3 linked regions of the Drosophila melanogaster genome follow. The protein of the gene in region 1 interacts with the protein of each later gene in a pairwise test. Each region holds a gene or a part of one and is shown in the gene's direction. Other genes may lie near its edges.

Region 1 (5,082 bases):
CACCTGACTGGTATCTGTAACACAAATCACGCAATCTAAACAAAAGTGCAGGAAGTGCCACAGTAATTCGATTATCGCCTGTTTCTATTACTCATCAGATTTAAAACGTGCCATAACAAGATTTACGGGCTGTAAATCCTTTTGTTACCTCGCATTCCTGATTAGAGGTTTACGTAGCCCAAGGTTTGTTATTGTCGTTCACGGTTAATTGTTAAATCGGTAGGAGTTCATATTTATTGTGTTCTTGTTTATCTTTTATTCTATTAGAAAACAATCTAAAATTTTTTCAAAGGCTTAAGAAATATTTTTGCTCTGTGGAATTAAATTTTATTCTATTGATTCGAAAATCTTTCAAAAAACCGTTTTAAAATAAGCCCTAAAGTATTAATTTCTTACTGTCCATTTTTTGTTAGCAAATTTTAGCAATTTTAAATTTTAAAATGCGGTTGCTCAAAATAATCTGGCAGCTCTTGCAACCTTATGGCATCCGTGCGAACAGCTGTCAGATCAGCTGTTGTTGTTTCCAGCCCTGGTTTGGGAAAATTTCACGGCCAACAACCGAAATTCGCGGTCAAAATTCGCGGAAGTGAGGTCTCTAGTTTTATGTAATGTCTAGATGACGCGGATTTAGCTCCTAGTTAAGCGCTAATTGTGGCACTCTGCTATGTTCACCTACCAACTGGGGCTTGTGGTCCGCTGTGCGCGGCAGAAGCCGCTGCTCCTATGGGCGCCCGCCTGCCACATGAGCGGTCTCAGTCCGCTGAAGGAATATGAGAAGCGTGTTAGTTCTGGCCAACTGATGACCGACAACAGGCAGCTGCAGACGATGAAGGAGCTGGATGCGCTGTACCACAAGATTCAGGGGTATAAACCCAGCTACAGGGCGGGCGGTGGCGGCGGAGGATTCTTCAGTTCAATCTTTGGTAGGAAATCTTCCACCGAAGATGACGATCAGGATGATCCTAACGCTGGCAGTCACGCTCCTCAGGGTCTGTACCTGTACGGCAGCGTGGGTGTGGGCAAGACCACTCTGATGGACCTGTTCTTCGACTGCTGTACCCAAGTAAGTGATGAATGAGTATTTCTCGAGGCCCATATTCACATGACTTGTGACTTTCAGATTCATCGAAAGCAGCGCGTCCATTTTACTTCGTTCATGAACACCGTGCACACCCGCATCCACGAGGCCAAGCAGAGACAAGGACCTGTTGACCGTGCCTTTAATTCTGAAAAACCAGCACCATTTGATCCCACAAAACCGGTTGCTGACCTGATTGCCAGTGAGTCCTGGTTGATTTGCTTCGATGAATTTCAGGTGACGGACATAGCCGACGCCATGGTGCTAAAGAGATTGTTTACGCACCTTTTCCGCCATGGCATTGTGGTTGTGGCCACCAGCAATCGGCATCCAGAGGATCTGTACAAGAACGGACTGCAGCGCACGAACTTTCTGCCCTTCATTGCGTTACTTCAGCGTCGCTGTAAGGTGTCCCAGTTGGATTCTATTGACTACCGACGTATAGCCCAATCTGGTGACACCAACTACTTCGTCAAAGGCCAAACGGATGCGGACGGCAGTATGAATCGCATGTTCAAGATCCTGTGCGCCGAAGAAAACGATATTATCCGGCCGCGAACCCTGACTCATTTCGGAAGAGATCTGACCTTCAATCGCACGTGTGGCCAGGTACTGGACAGCACCTTCTCGGAACTCTGTGATCGCGTAAGCAAAGTATTAATACATAATCTTACCCATACTCAACATATTCCGCATTAGCCTTTGGCTGGCAGTGATTTCTTACAGATATCGCAATTCTTTCACACCGTCCTCATCCGAGATGTGCCCCAGCTGACCCTTGATGTGAAGGCACAGATGCGACGATTTATCACGCTCATAGATACCCTTTACAATAACCGAGTGCGTGTGGTGATATCATCCGACGTTGCGCTGGAAAACTTGTTCAGCTTTACTGGAGGTTCCAAAACTCTGTCCGATTCTGAGCGAACCCTAATGGACGATCTAAATATAGTAAGTTAGTAACTCATTCTTCTACCATTAAAATCAACACGTTTTTGTTTACAGAAAGAATCCAAAGCCAGTTTTTTCACCGGCGAGGAAGAGCTGTTCGCCTTTGATCGCACACTATCTCGACTCTATGAAATGCAGAAGAGGGAGTACTGGGAGCAGTGGGCCAAACATCGATGAAAACCCCTTGTCACAAAGCAGTAGTTCAATTAGCGCTATAAAAATTACATGTTTTCTACCTCGCTGACGCGGTATTTTAAAATTCACAATATCTTGTACTTACAAATTTCATATCGAAAATGCAATATTAAAATTAGGTGTATTTCGCAAGTATTAAGACAATAAAAAATAGACAAAGTTACCTAAGCGATTGGCTTTATTAAACAGCAAGCTGTGGAGTTTTACATAACAAATTTACTTATTGTTAATATCGGTGATCTTTTAACGGAATCCATCTCATAAATTATCAGTTAATGCGAACGGTCTGGCAACGTCGTCATCAGCTGTCCAACAAGCAAATTGATAAGACTCTCCATGTTCTTCGGTTGAGGTTGAGTAGAAGATTAGAGGTCAAGATCGGCGATCGAACGATTTTATCTTCAAGTGGAATTTAGTCAGCTAAATTTTCGTTTGACAGCAATGAGCAGCATGGATGTGAAGGAATTGGAAGTAAACAAAACCCTGCCCTATGGTAAGAATTCGCACAATAGTACGAATTTAAATATATACATATATATTTCGCAGATCCCTCCCTGCTTAAGGTAAACATCTCGCTGCGGCAGGTCGAGGAGATCGCTTTGACGGTGTCCCAGCGATGCCATGTCACCGGAGCCAACGAAATCGCCTGGGCGCTGAGGGCTCTGATGCTGACAGATCTTACCACCTTGGCGGGCGATGATACGGCTGCCAATGTGCGGAGACTATGCCTACGCGCCTGCTATCCCTTCGAGCCGCAGTTCTTTGACAAGTTCTTCGACCGGGCTCTCATCCCAGAGATGCACACGGCCGCCGTTTGCGTTTATCCCGCCAGGGTAAAGGACGCCTATTTAGCTATCCAACAGTACGACAAACTGGATAAGGTGGCTATTGCAGCGGTGGCCACGGGATTTCCCACGGGCCAGTACGGCCTGCAGACCCGCCTGCAGGAGATCAGCCACGCCATTCTTGCTGGAGCCACAGAGATCGACATTGTGATCAATCGCCAGTTGGCCCTCGTTGGCGACTGGGAGGCCATGTACAACGAGGTGGTCCTTATGCGCAGTGCCTGTGGACAAAGGGCTCACCTAAAAACAATTCTGGCCATCGGGGAGCTGGGCACCATGGATAATGTGAGATCAATATCGCCTAATCCCTATACTAAAATACCATTCAAATCCATTAATTTCTTTAGGTTTACAAAGCAGCCATGGTTTGCATGATGGCCGGAGCGGATTTTATCAAGACCTCAACGGGAAAGGAGACAGTCAACGCCACCCTGCCCGTTGGCCTGGTCATGATATTTGCCATTCAGGAATTCAAACGACGCACGTGCCAGATTGTGGGCCTTAAGCCAGCCGGAGGAGTAAAGACTGTACGAGATGCGATCGCCTGGATGACGTTGGTCAACGAAACTCTTGGCATCCGCTGGTTGCGTCCCGAGAGGTTCCGTTTCGGAGCCTCCGGATTGCTGGACGACATTGAACGCGTTGTGCGTCAGGGTGTCAAAAAACTCGAGGAGGATGAGGCTCAGAAAAATGTGCCCGTGTCTCGCGAGGCTGCTGCTGCCGAGACCTTCTGCAAGGAGCTGCGGAAGAAGTAGGAGGAGGCCAACTGGTCGAATCCGTATTCTGGACTTTACTCACTCTAAGTGCATTTATTGTAGCTTTTTTATACAACTGACTAAAACCTATAGCAAAAAAAACCGCATCTATGTTCGACGTTCTTCCTGGACGGGAGACTTGAAGTTAAAGGCTAACTGCGCAGGAGCCGCCATCAAATCTTCCTCGGCCTGCTCTTCGCCATGCTGCAAGAGCTCTGTGGGCGCAGCTGGCTCCTTGTGGGGCTGATTATCCGGAATCTTTACCTGCATGTCCACCGCAAAGAAGGAGTCGTCGAAGTTTATTCGGTTGCGCTCGTCCTGCTCCAGATACATGGCTTTGGGCGCAGTTGCTCCGCCCATGGCCCTCTCGTAGGTGTTAAGCCACTTGAGATTGAGGTTGATGTGCTTGTTGGCAGCGTTAAACTTCTTTGGCTTCTTTTTTGGCTTTTCCGCGTAGTAGTTGTGCTCCGTCTTTTGCGGCGGAGGAGCAATCTTCTCCAGCATTCGGCTCTTGGCATCCAGCTTGGGCTCCACGAAGTCGTATAGAGGTAAATAGAAGTTATACGGCTGCTCCGTTGGCGGCAGCATTCGCTGCTGCGGCTGCACTTGCTCCTGCACCTGACTACTGGCCTCCGCCATGGCATCTTCCTCTAGAGCCGGACCAAAGATTTCCCCAGCACGCCGCAGCAAATTCTCTAAACGCTCTATGGTGATGATGTGGGGATGGATAAGCTGGACATCGTCGTGCAGCTGTGCCCGCCGAGCTGTCGGTGGTTTGGCCACCACGCTGCAGCAAAAGGCGCACAAAAACAACTGCAAGGATGTGAAAACTTAGTCCGATTTTCGCATTGAGCGGTCAAGCCAAACAACTCACAACCAATAAACCATTCATGTCCAATTTAATTCCCATAGCTCTGAACGTTTCACTTTCAGCTCCTCATATGCAGTGCTCCAATTGAACCACCTTCACTTTCTTAGATCTGAAACGATGTGAGGCCTCCTTGGAGCTGGCCAATTCATTTATACTGGCGCTACATGCTCCAAACGGAAGCTCGGAAGTCTCCGCCATCAATGGCCAACAAAAAACCTGCACGGACCCTGGCTGGCTGGTTGACTGGGAGAAAACTAGTTTCCCACACAAGAAATAAATATGTAACGAGCCAACTAACTAGACTGCACATGTATGCACACGCCAGAGCACATAATAATGTTAATGTAACAACGATGGTGATACCGATGCTGGGAGTTGAACAAACTG
Region 2 (4,597 bases), on another chromosome or scaffold:
GCAATTACCCCACCTAATTAATGATCAGCTAGGCCACAAGTACGTTCTTGATTAAAATTTGTGTGCTGCTAACGCATTAATTAAAGTTTCATAAGAGGCAAGCAGAAAAATGCGAGAAAAGAAGGCCAAACAAGGACTTCTATTTAAATATTTATTCCACTCATTTGTATTGTGGAAGAGACCCCGAGACCTGGAGACAGAAATTACCTTAGGCACACAAATTGCATTTGCGTGTCAACCGCAGTGCGCAAAAAGGGGCGGGAATGTCCTGGAGGCGTCCCAAGTTTGAATGTGTGACTGTGTGTATTTGAGTGAGTGAGTCTCTGGAACATGCGAAGCGTGCGTAAGTCGGCAACATGTAAACGCGTATTAATTAAGCCAAAACAAAGCGCCGCCGCTCAAGAACCAGACGAAATGCGAAGACGACGACGTCGACGGCGACGAGGACATGCAAAAGGAGTGGCACGTGGGCGGCGGTGGCGATGGCAGGGGGCGTGGCAAGTCGTCCTGCGAGTCAAGAGCTCGCTCGCTGCCATTTCCCCCTGTCAGGGACTCAATGTGTCCGTAGGAAATGGAAATGCCCTTATAATACGCCAGACGTGGTACATTTTCTTTTTTGTATGTGTGCGGCTTTCTTTGACTGATTCTTTTGATTCCAGTTATACATTTTAATTAAAACCACCTCATAACATAACATACATAACTCGCCTATCTCGTTGTAGTTAACAGGCGTTTTATTTAAATAGTCCCTTAATGAGCAAAACAGTCTCGCCCAGTCTTTGTCCTCACCCCACCAGGTGAACAGCTCTCGAAGTTGTCGGGCTGCCGGCGACACTTTTCCGTCATTGTCCCACCTGTCATCGCCAGTCGGTCCGAGCTGCCACAAATGTCAGTCACCGCTTTAAACGCTTTTGGCTAGAATAAGCTTCAAGTCAAAAACAAAAATTGAGTAAACGATTTAGAAATAAAACACATTATTTGAAAAGGGAGTTGGTTTAGCCATGACCTTCTGTGCGTCCGTCGATTTGTATGCAAACTAGAGTCTCAGTTTTAGAACTAGCCGAATAAAACTTTCAAAAAGTCTTTTTATTGTAAGTTTGTTAATTCCAGATATAAACACTCTATCATATAGGAAAGAAATCATATCATCGTGGTTTTTAATTATAAAGTGTTCTAATTCGGTATAAGCATTTTTCTATTTTAAATATATTTTAACTGCAAGCATATATATATAAATGGATATATAGATTTTACATTTAACGTTTTTCGGCTGAGTGCATGAGAATGATTTTCGTGCCCACTTTAATTGCAATTCGTGTTAATTTCGCCGGCGAAACTGGGTTTAACAACCACTTGAGGCGGCCAGCTGCCACTTCATCGGTCATTATGGTCAGCCATAAACAAATCAGCAAACAAAGTGGCAGCCACCTGCCACCTGCCGCCTTCCATTGTCCACGTCGCCACTTTGCACACCCACTTTTCGCACAAATTGCACGTTGGGCGCCACAAAAGTTGCGACCCAAGAAAAAGCAAGCGGAAAGAATAGCCGAGCCAAGAAAGCGAAGGGAAACAAAGGAACGAGCGAAAGAAAATCTTTCATTATCATGTCACGTCAATCGAAAAACAATCTAATGACTGCACATGATTTCTATCTCAAATAGGTTGGACGGGAGTCTGGGCAAGGGGCAAAACAGGACGGGAAATCGCCCTACATACACACTGAACTCAAACACAAATGCCCACAGAAGTGGTTGAAAAGTTTGCGGCCAAACGATTATTATGCATTAGCCATGCTTAAACGGTTAAATCAACTGTAAATCCCTCTGCCCACAATAAGGTCGTTGGGGGCAGCCTTCGATGGGCGGTCAACTGCACAAGTCAAGTGTGAATGAGTGTGATTTGATAAATCACTGCGATATAACAAGGCTCAACGTATCTGAAACTTAGATACCGAGGCGGACAGGCATTTCCAGTTGATTAGGAAGTACGGCTTGGAGCTCACTTTTATAAAGACTTCAGATTTCGAATAGATTATGTAACTATCCTAAGCCTAAAGTGTTAAAAAAATTCTGAGTGTGTTTGTTTTTGGGACGAGCTTAATAGGCTTTTCAGTAACGGTTAAGTTTACCTTTTAAATATTTAAATCTATTAAGTTTGTAATATTTCCGATTTTAATGATGTACAAGTAAGTAAAAAAAATATTATGGTGTCTATTGCTATCGCTAATATGCATATTTCCGTTTTCATTCACAGCAACCGACCCACGGCGTAGGTATCGATATAAGTTACTATCCAGATCTGAGTATTTTAATATTTTTCTTTTTAAACAGTATCAGTCTAGAAGAGGAGGTTCAATATATCTATAAGTACCCTTTGCTGCCGACTCCACTGATTGATTATGGATTTATCTACAATCTGGTTTGCAACAAGCCTCGGGATGTCAGTGTGCCGTTGATCCTAGAAATTGAGACAGAGTTCAAGTCCAAAGACAGTGCTCCTGAGAAGCCAAAGAAGGTGCCTAGGCTTTCATACCATTCCCGATCGAGTTCAATGAGTGAAGATGAACCGGAACCGGAAGTGCAAGTTAAATACCAGTGGAACTCGCCGCGGCTGATGATTCTCTGCGAAGATGGAGACATCAATTGCGCTTTGCACTATCTCGTTGAGTCTCTTCACGATCCCTTCGCCTGCAATGCGGTGGCCACTCTTTTCTTGCAGGAATCCATATTGGAGGAGTTCGTGGATCGCATAAGGGATCGCCTGGAACCGTTGAGCACGGATATCTCCGGGCATCCGGTTTATATAATGACACTGGAGAGAATAGGTCACTTACAGGCAAAGAGAATAGTTGGAAATCCCAAGACTGTTCCAGAAAATGCTAGTCCCATGCTGGTCTACGACCTTAGCCATCGTTACTTGGCTGATGGACCCACCGGGGTCATAACCCTGCACACCTTTCGAACCATGAAGGAGGCCGTTGAGCTGCAGGCTAAGGAACCACTTAACTTTACCTCTGTGTGCATTTGGAACGAAAAACTGGCAGCCGCCTACGAACTGGTGGCCCGATTAAGTCCGCTGATCTTCACGATTAATTGTTACTACGTTAATCTGAACGAAATCACTCTGCCCTTCGTTTGCAACTTTAACTCCGCAAAGATTATCGACGGCTACCACTACGAGTCATTGACCTTTAAGGGAAAGCGCAAAGTGGTTGTCCATCCAGTTGGCACCATCTGGGCAAAGTTGGCCCGCGAGGCACTCGTCCAGTACTGATCTCTCCCATCGGGGGGTCGCACTCGAACTTCTTTTGACAGCCAATTTAAATTACTAGTCATTGATCTAGGGCCTCTGGCTAATTGACTTTCCGGTTGGGCAACTCAATTACCAATTTAATTGCTACAAAACGTCTGCCCGTCCCAAGAGTTTTGGCCTACATATTTTCCGGGGAAACTCAACAGGCCGTTTCCCCGGCCTAATGGAAATTATGAGTGACTTTGTATTGCGATATTAAAAATTCTTTCTGCGAAGTAATTCACCTAACGTGCCAATAATTTCAAAAATTAACTTTGCCCCATTGGCACCTTCCCCGATTTCCCCGCTCTGCAGAACAAAGGCAACAAAAGGCGGTTCGTGTTGGCAACAAAATGTTGAGGCTGCCAGGTGAGTGGGTGGGAAGTGGCTGGATGGCGGGTGGAATTTCGAATATGCCATAATTACTCCACTTGGTCGCTGCTGAGGGTCGATCGTGCAGAGGGGCCACTGGGCGGTCATATTAGTGGCACATTTCGGCTTGTTGGTTGGCCAAATAATACGGGAATGGGAATGACTTTGGCAAACGGGGGCTGGGCAACTTTATAATGTACTTCCGTTTGCTTTCATTCACATGGCAGCGGAATATCAAAATATTTGACATTTGCATAAATAACACGGCCACCGACGCAGATCCCGGGCAAGTTGAAAGGCAAATAAGGCTCGAATTTTTCGCCCAGCCCCAAACCACACACATATCATGCCTGGAATTGGGCAAATTTAAAAAACCAGCACATGCCAAGGGGCATGGAATGGAAGCGGTGCGGAGCAGAGCGAAATATGCAACGCAGGCAGTGAAAACAAAACCGTGGAATTTCTGTCCACCAGAGTCGGGAGTCCTGGCCACGGACTCCGGCTGAGGGTGGGTCCAGTGGCTATGGGCAAATAAGATTTGCGTGAAATCCAGCAGAATTCTGTTGGCTACCAGGGTTCCGGCCCGCTGTGGCATAGTAAAGCATGTCGGCAAGCAGGGCCCGCTCACTAAATAAACAAATTCATAAACAAACAAGTGCGAAAATATGGGACTTTACTTAGGCTCCCGTCCGATACCCTGATGGAGCCATTCAAACGAATTGTTCAATATAGGCACGCTAAATATGAAATACGACGGGCAATCTTAGCATGGAAAAGTGCACACAAAAAAATATATGTACTTAGGACTCGTTTATGACAGTAAAAGAGATAATATTATTAAAAAGGCTTGTTGATATTGATTACTGTTCAAGAATGCAAAATATGATCTAAAGTTCAGTTGTTATTTTATATGTGCACATATATAAAGAATATA
Region 3 (8,791 bases), on another chromosome or scaffold:
TATTCAGACAATTATTTTAAAAGTTGTGGTAAAAAAAACGGATTATTTATTGACCGAAATTCGAAAAAAACGGGTTTTGCCAAAAAAGTGATTTTACAAACGGAACTTTTCGTCATAACTTCTCTAAAATTTGTCATATAGATAAAAGAATTACCTTTTTGAGCAGCTATTTACCAATACTAACGACGCCAATCATTTTTTGAAGGATTTAGAAAAATTAATTTTTGGGTCAATTTTCGCATTTTTTTGTAAGGGGTAACATCATCAAAATTTGCAAAAAATGGCGAAAAAATAGAATTCTTATATTTGGACACAGTTTAATTGGAAATTTAATTACGAGCTCATTGAGGTATGACATTTCATATTCAGGCAATTAATTTGAAAGTTGTGGCAAAAAAACGGATTTTTTGATCACATAAATTCGGAAAAACAGCTTTTGCCAAAAACGTAATATTTACAAATGGAATTTTTGTCATAAATACGCTAAAAATTGTTATATAGATGAAAAAATAACTGTTTTGAGCAGCAAATTACCAAGGCTAACGTTCCCTATCATTTTCATCGAAGAATTAAGGAAATTTTTGAATACAGTTCGATTTGGTATTTAATAACGAACACAACGAGGCATCTCATTTTATATTTGGACCATTATTTATAATGTTATGGTAAAAAAAACGGATTGTATTATGATAGAAATAACAATATTTATTCTTGGACAGAAAACTGCACAATTGGAAAATGTTTTTAGTGAAACGATGTAATTAGTTTATAAGGTTTTCCCGTAAGCTGTAAATTTCGCTCAAGCAGTTTTATTTCGCCCACACAAGTTGCATTAGTCCAGCTGTACATACAATGTCATTTATGTGTATTTTTTACTTATACATATAACGATGGCATTAATTTACTTATTTTCGTTCTACAACAAGTAATTTATATTTGCCGATATATGTATGTATATGTAGCTATATCCACTTTGAATGCAAAATAAGCATCCAAACACATGTAAGTAAATTTCCAAAAAAAGTTTTTATCTACTTTTCATGGCTTTTATTCCTTAAAAAACAAACACGTATGTTTCATACGCCCAGTTTAATTTTTTGACCGCTTCCGTAAAATTCTTTATCTGTTTCTTCTGTTTATGTGTGCCACCCAGCCAGTTGAACCGCCCTGCTGTTAATATTTTGACCGCAGCTGTACCATATGTTATCTATTTACCCTGTTTATTCTTTCCCCTAATTTAAATGAGACTTTTTCATTTATTCAGAATTTTTATCTGTTTCTTTGTTTTTTTTTTTTTGTCATGAGTTATGAGTTTTCCTAGTCGCCCATTGCTATTTTTATGGCTGCAATTGTTTGTTGGATAAGATGAGGGGGGTGAGTGCAGTGCACTGCTTGCTGGCCAGTGCAGTGCAATAGCGGCATCTCGTCTCCCGCATCGCATGCACTGCTTGCTTACCTTCACACGCACAAAAGGGGATCCCATCAGCTCGTTGAGGTCGGTCATGATGATGTCGCTCTCCTGCTCCTTCTCGCTCGCACTCAAATGCAGTTATTGCAGCGGCTACCGCTCTCTCACTCCCACTCCTGCTGCTGCCACACGCGGCGCAGACAACAACAACAATAAAACACAAAAAAAAATGAGTCGCACAGCTGTTTTGTTATTTTCGTGTGCAACAATTTGCTGAAATCGTTCCACTTTGCGTCTATTTTCACTTGCAATTCACTTTCAATTGGTGCTAAAAGCGCAATAGCTTCACTGTATGAGTGTATCTGTGTGCGTCTGTGCGTGTGTGTGTGTGTGCGCGCACTTGTTGGTCTTCTTTCGTTCTCCAAATGTTCTTGTTGTTGCTGCTGCAATATTTGGCAATCGCTGTTGTTGTTGCTGCCTTTGCACGGGGGCGTCAACAATGAACGGCGAATAACGAGTGATGTCAACAACTATTAGCTAGCCGGGGGCAAAAGTGTTATTTTCTTTTATACGCTGGAAGGCGTCAGCGCAGCAACACGACCAATTGCAATTTAAATTAAAATTGTGATGTGTGGGCCAATGTGACCGGTCGCTGTTCCGCTTATACATGCCAGTTATTATTTCGGTGTGACCGTAGCTATAAAATGCGACAGGCCGTGTTAAATACTGAATAATACCAATAACTGGTATTTTAGTTTATCAGCGATCTTCCTTCTCTGCATGTGAATGTGTGTGTGCGTGTGTGTCTGTTTATGTGCGTGTGTGTATGTTTGCGTGAGCCGCTGATAACGCAGCTGATCGGGCGATTCCATTGAATTCAAGTTTTCAATTCGCAGAGCATGGCCAGCAACTTCACCCAGTCCCAGCCGTCCAGGATCACCAGCTACATGGTCAACCAGCTGCAGCCGACGGCGCAGGAAACGAAGGTCAGTCAGACAATATCGGACATAACCTTGATCTCCTTGGCACACGGATTGTGTCTCAGTGAGATTATCGGAGCACCTACATACATATGTTAAATTCAAAAATGTATCTACTTGCAGTTGGCGCTGATTCCCAGTGCACCCCAGTGGCGCTCCCCCCAGCTGATGGTCGTCTTCGAGGACGGTGATCTGCACTCAGCGCGCCACCAGTTGCTCCAGTCCCTGCAGAATCCCTTTGCCGAGGGATCGGTGGCCACGTTGCTACTCCAGGAGAGCATTGCCGATCAGTTTGTGGGCCTAGTGGCGCAGGATTTGCGTCCGTTGTCGCAGGAGGTGTCCAAGCATCCGAGCTACACCAGCACGCTGGCCAAGATCGAAGAGCTGAAGGCCAAGACAGTACAAGGCGAAAGCCTTAAGGCTGGGGAATCACCCGTCTTGGTGTACGACTGCGTGCACAGCTATCTGGGCAATGGAGCGACGGGAGTGGTGACGGTGCACACATTCCGCACAGCCAAGGAGGCCGGCCAGTTGGCCAAAAGGGATCCCCTACCTTACGGCCAAGTTAGTCTGTGGAATGAGAAGCTGGGCTGCGCCTACGAACTGATACCACGACTACCGAGCGATATTGTGGCCATTAATTGCTTCAATCCGGACTTGGATCCCATCTGGGAATCCTTTGCTGCCGACCGCAACGATGTTCTGCTGGCCAAGAACTATCACTATGAATCGCTGGTGGTGAGCGGCAAACGGAGGATCGTCGTCTTTCCCGTGGGCACCATCTTCGGCAACTGAAGAGTGACAGTTCTGGACTTCGACGGCGACGAATCACATCCGGAAGGAATTACATCCAGGTGCTTTTTAAGCCATACTTTAAAATACCTCTCTAAGCATTTTACATGTAGCTTGGGGCATCCTTTTCGACAGTTCAATTGGAATTATATCGAACTAAATTAGGAGTTATGTCAAACAACTAGCATTTAATGTGGCTTAACTTAGAAATTATCTGATTTTGCAACCATCATAATATTCCAATTGTATTGCGAAAAGGTCCTTGAGTCTGAATTGTTTTTTTGATACTCTGTCAATAATTGTCCACTGAAAAATCATCAGCCAACTTTTATGCATCTGTGGGAATTTGGGGTAGGTCCACGAATCTCTGCATGCAACAGGCATTTTTTCAGGACATGCGCAAGTGCTGCTCCAGAAATAGAAATCCTGCAAAGCAGTTTAAATGGAAGCAGTTGAAGGGCACACTCATACACTTGGGGCCAAAATAATAGCGCTCATTTTAGTAAACTTAACATACTATGAAGTAAATGAACCATTTAACTGATAAACTGGTAATGATTTCAATGAAAATTTTTAAAAGAACATTTTGTTTTGTGCGAGCTACGCAGCGATCGATCAACTTAACCCTTTATCTTATCTATTTCATTGTAAACGGACAACAAATATGGAAAAATTTCCAGATGTAGAAATGTACATACTATGTGTGGAATTTAGGTTTTTGCTCATTTCTTTTGTTCTCTAACTAGAGCCTGCTTGAATTGACTTACATACATTAAAAGAGCTTGGCTACTTAAACGTAGCTATTGTGTTAGCCTGAGTTGTTTGAGTGTGCGTGTATTTGTGTTGGCAACTAAAGTATACTTTGCCTTTCTCTCCTCGTTGTTTTTATTCTCAAGATTTTAGTACAAATTCCCTTTTTGATTTCGACTATCTGGAAATTAGTTTTGTTTTATTGTTTTTATTTTCTTACAAATAGTAATTTTTCAGTGCTGGCAAATATACCATATCGCCGTTTATAGTTTGTGTGTGTGTGTAAACTAACTGTAACTAAACAAAGATAGTATACTTAAGTTAGTTCACAACAATACAATTCACACTGCACTCTCTTCTCTTCTCGCACATCACCCCCTTTCTCTTTGGCCCTCTCTAATGCTCTCTCTCTCACCCACTCTCTTTCGTTCTTGCATCCCCTTCTGTGACGTAGCGCCGCACCATTCATGCTCCACTTTCACACGGGAGAGAGCGAGAACGCCACAGAGCCAGCCATTAGAGAGGGAGCGAGCTGTGGTGACTCCAAACGCAGTGGCGCAGCAAAAGGGGCAACTAAACAATGACTGAAATTCCCAAAGAACTACGCCATCATTCTATCGCCAGAAAGTATTTACTCTTCTCACTCGAGGAATCCCCTCTGTGATTTTGGCTCGCCACCCCACAACTACGCCACTGTTACCCCTCTTGTGGTTAGAAGCTACGTTTGCTGGCGCTGCCTTTTGCTTAGGTTTGTTGTTGCGCTGTCCGTTGCCCGTTGCCATTTGCCAGTCCGTCAGTCTGCGCTGGTTCCCGCTGGCGTGGTGAGGTGTCCGCTCGCGTTGCCGCTCCCGTTCCCGCTCCCGCTCACACGGCTCTTGATTTTGGTGGACAAGCAAACCGCTTCCGCCACCGCTGGCGATACAAATACAATAACTACACTACAGCTGCCGCTCCGGCAGAGAAAATGCGTTGGCAGTTGCAGTTCCAAACGCTCAAAAGACGCTCGAAAAGCACAGACCGCCAAGCACCAACATCTCCAATCGGAATCCACGAAACCAAATAGAGCGCCACGATGCCACCGCACAAATGGACGGACGAGTCGCGGGACGCCTCCTGTTACTACGATCCATCCACCTCCTCCAATTCATCCGCCTCGGCGGAGCGCTCCGACGACGAAGCGGACGACGAACGGGAGGCGTTTTGCTCCGGCGAACGACCGCTAATCCGCTCCAGCGGCGCTGCGGAGGGTGAGTAGCTACAAGATACACAGATGGGGAAAGATATTTACCTAGCTATAGCATATGTAGGTGGAGCAACGTAGATATGCGTATTACAAGCTCAAGATACCTTTATTTATTTAAATCTTTAGTGCTATTTCTGCTTCATATTGATTTGCATTTATGTATTGTACATACATATGTCCTGGGTCAGTACTTTTATTAAACATAAACTCTCGGAATATCTGTGTAAAAAAAAACAGTACTCAACGCAAAGATACTTTTTGTTGTAAACAAATTTCATTTTACGTATATCCAAGACACTCTAAAATTGTATCTTTCAATTTATAATAATTCTCATTTAATCTTAAAGTAAGATATTATATGGCTTATAGATTTCAATAACTAATAAAAATAATTAAAATGTTTTTATACATATAACATAACATACATATAATATAAAATAACCTAATAATTACGCATAAATTTTAATTTTCACGTAATACTATCCAGTTATCCAGTTAACAGCCTATGCCTATGTATAATTTATTCGCCAAGGGCCGAAATTACGACTTGTTTACATTTACTGATATGAAGCGAAGTTTTTCTGAACTTTATAGAACAGTACAAATCTGCATTTCAAATGGAACGGAGGGCCGATAACTTTTTCGATGGTATCAGATCGTAATATTTTTATTTTAGATTTTATACTTGAGCGATTCCTATGAACAAGTATCTGAAAAGAAATTAAATTCACTGGCAATGGCATCTCATGTAAACATTTCTAAAGGAATAAAAAAGTGAAGAAATTGAGGCAATTTAAACTATGCAATGATAACACATTGAATGGTATTTAGGGATTTTCAGTGTAACATTGGGCCTTATCGAGAACGGCGAGAACTTTTAAGTAAAACCGGAACTGATATCGTTATTACGCCTCCTAAACCATAGCTTACTAACCATCCACTCTCTCCTCTCTCCACCCTGCAGAAAACCATGGCTGTGGCCCAAAGACGCGTCACATTTTCGGATTCATGGGCTTCCTGGGATTCGCCGTGGTCTACGCGATGCGGGTCAATCTGTCGGTGGCCATTGTGGCCATGGTGAACCAAACGGCAATTCCGCACAGCAACTCATCGGTGATTGATACGGACACGTGTCCACTACCGGCACCACATCACAATGGTAGCGATCCCAATCCGCAGAAGGAGGGCGAGTTTGTGTGGGACGAGGCCACGCAGGGATTGGTGCTCGGCAGTTTCTTCTATGGCTATGTGCTAACCCAAGTGCCCGGCGGACGGATGGCCGAGCTGTATGGTGGGAAGAAGATCTACGGCTATGGAGTGTTGATCACGGCGGTCTTTACGCTTATAACTCCATTGGCTGCCCACTGGGATCTGCCGCTGTTGGTCCTGGTCCGCATCCTGGAGGGAATGGGCGAGGGCGTCACCTATCCAGCTATGCACGCCATGCTTGCCCACTGGATACCGCCGCTGGAGAGGAACAAGTTCGCCGCAATCGTCTATGCGGGCTCCAATATCGGAACAGTCATTTCCATGCCGCTGGCCGGATGGCTGTGCTCGCTGGACTTCCTGGGTGGCTGGCCGTCGGCTTTCTACATCTTCGGACTGTTGGGCATTCTGTGGTTCATCGCATGGATGTATTTGGTGTACGACAAGCCTAGCGATCATCCCAGGATCTCAGAATCGGAGCGAGAGTATATCGAAAGGAGTCTACAGGTTCAGAGGCTAATAAATCAGGATCTAGCGGAGGCCGAGGAAGAGGAGGGACAGGATGAAGTGAGTCTGCGGGCGCCGCCGGAGGAACCGATACCCTGGTCATCGCTGCTCACATCCGTACCTCTGTGGGCCATCTTGTTGACGCAATGCGGCCAGGGATGGGCCTTCTACACGCAGCTAACCGAGCTGCCCACCTACATGAGCAACATCCTACACTTTGACATCCAGTCGAATGCTCTGCTCAATGCGGTGCCGTATCTAACCTCCTGGTTCGTGGGCATTGCCTGCTCCGCCCTGGCGGATTGGATGCTAGCCAGACGCTACATATCGCTGCTGAACTCGTATAAGTTGTGGAACACGGTGGCCTCCGTGGTGCCATCACTGGGCCTGATTGGCATCATCTATGTGGGCTGCGATTGGGTGTGGGTCACCTTTATGTTGGCCGGCGTGGGCTCTTTCGGCGGCGCCGTCTATGCTGGCAACCAGATGAATCACATAGCGCTCAGTCCACGATATGCAGGCACCATGTATGGCATCACCAATTCGGCGGCAAATATCTGTGGCTTCCTGGCTCCGTATGTCATCGGTCTAATCATCAATCATCGCGAGACTCTGACACAGTGGCATCTGGTCTTCTGGCTGGCGGCGGGCTTGAATATAGCCGGTAACTTCATCTACCTGATCTTCGCCAGCGCCGAGGAGCAAAGCTGGTCGAAGACACCACCCACACGCAACTCACGATCCCAGCGCGCTTGAAGCAAGCCTAACTATACGCTATTTTAGCTAGATCATAAGCATTTGTGATAATTCCGATATATACACATATATCCTACATATGTATTTGGGCTCGAAGTTTTCCGGATGCAGGACAAGAATGTGGCTTCCAAAAAGAAAAAAAAAAAACGAAACGAACGAAACTAGTGCTACCAAATCGGAATGGAAAATCGAAAGGATGTTAACTGTTTTAGTGTATTATATACGTGTATCGTCCTTTTATATGGACTTTTGTTTTGCTAGGCGTCTTTTTTTTGTAAACAATTATACCAATACCAACTATATATATATATACATATATATTTATATATCTATCATATACACGCTCGAAGGCACGTAGATCTGTCGAAATAAACAGCACAAACATATCGAACTGTGGCACCTGATTTAAGCATTTTATTCTTTAACTGGCAGGTGGTTTTCGTGTATCCGACTAAGTAATACCTCTTCATTGGAGAATTATGATTTGATGGGTTATTTATTTTATGCAGCTACTAGAGTCTTGGATTTTTAAAACACTTTTAGGCTTTTCATGTTTTTGAAGGCTGTAAAAATGTTGCATAATTTCAGGGGCGAAGTGTTCATGTCAAATTATGCCTAAAACATAAATGGGGTGTATAAAAAGTATCTCAAAATAGTGAGTAATACTTTGGTAGTAAAATGTTTGTGCGTAGAAACGATAATATATAATTAAGAAAGATTAAAGCAATACAATACCTTCTTCATTTTACAGCTTTAAATCTTAATTTTAAAGGTTTCTTATATTATGATTTAGAAATACGAATAGAATACCTTCGATAAAGCTCTGTCTTTGGTTCTTTTAGTAACTTTTCGTAGGTTTAAATGTTACAATGTTAAATGTTAATTTTCTAAATAAGTTCATTTAAACAATATGCATCCGAGATTTTGTCGCAGCCTCAGTTTTCGTTTATGATTTCAGTTTTCGGTTTCGTCGTGATTATCGTGGCATAGTTTTGGCCCCTGTCCGTCCGTAAATCTGTCCGTCCGTTGACGTGAGGCGTCTCTGGCTGGGCTGCCACGCCCCCTTGGCCACCATACACACCTGCCCCCCCCAAAAAATTACTTGCCTCCCCTTAAAAATATGGGGGCATTAATAATGGTTAAGTGACT

What was found. The genes of interacting proteins can lie anywhere in the genome.
Region 2: the proteins of Dera (region 1) and CG2336 interact in a two-hybrid assay, tested with the Drosophila melanogaster proteins (one large-scale study listed by BioGRID).
Region 3: the proteins of Dera (region 1) and CG15717 interact in a two-hybrid assay, tested with the Drosophila melanogaster proteins (one large-scale study listed by BioGRID).

The regions. Positions count from the first base shown.
Region 1 is NT_033778.4:12,423,046-12,428,127, forward strand, and holds Dera (Deoxyribose-phosphate aldolase), read left to right. Parts: upstream 1-2,437; 5' UTR 2,438-2,665; coding exon 2,666-2,717; intron 2,718-2,770; coding exon 2,771-3,354; intron 3,355-3,416; coding exon 3,417-3,824; 3' UTR 3,825-3,930; downstream 3,931-5,082. Other genes in the region: CG8520 (uncharacterized protein), read left to right, coding at 665-1,063, 1,121-1,723, 1,778-2,029, 2,084-2,206; CG13154 (uncharacterized protein), read right to left, coding at 3,933-4,637, 4,699-4,734.
Region 2 is NT_033777.3:6,578,743-6,583,339, forward strand, and holds CG2336 (uncharacterized protein), read left to right. Parts: upstream 1-2,041; 5' UTR 2,042-2,174; coding exon 2,175-2,185; intron 2,186-2,253; coding exon 2,254-2,268; intron 2,269-2,330; coding exon 2,331-3,273; 3' UTR 3,274-3,529; downstream 3,530-4,597.
Region 3 is NC_004354.4:13,126,795-13,135,585, forward strand, and holds CG15717 (uncharacterized protein), read left to right. Parts: upstream 1-2,223; 5' UTR 2,224-2,307; coding exon 2,308-2,394; intron 2,395-2,511; coding exon 2,512-3,183; 3' UTR 3,184-3,242; exon of another isoform or gene 3,243-3,496; intron 3,497-4,198; exon of another isoform or gene 4,199-4,384; 3' UTR 4,385-5,002; coding exon of another isoform or gene 5,003-5,177; intron 5,178-6,137; coding exon of another isoform or gene 6,138-7,642; 3' UTR 7,643-7,771; downstream 7,772-8,791. Other genes in the region: CG32638 (uncharacterized protein), read right to left, coding at 1,457-1,504; MFS10 (major facilitator superfamily transporter 10), read left to right, coding at 5,003-5,177, 6,138-7,642.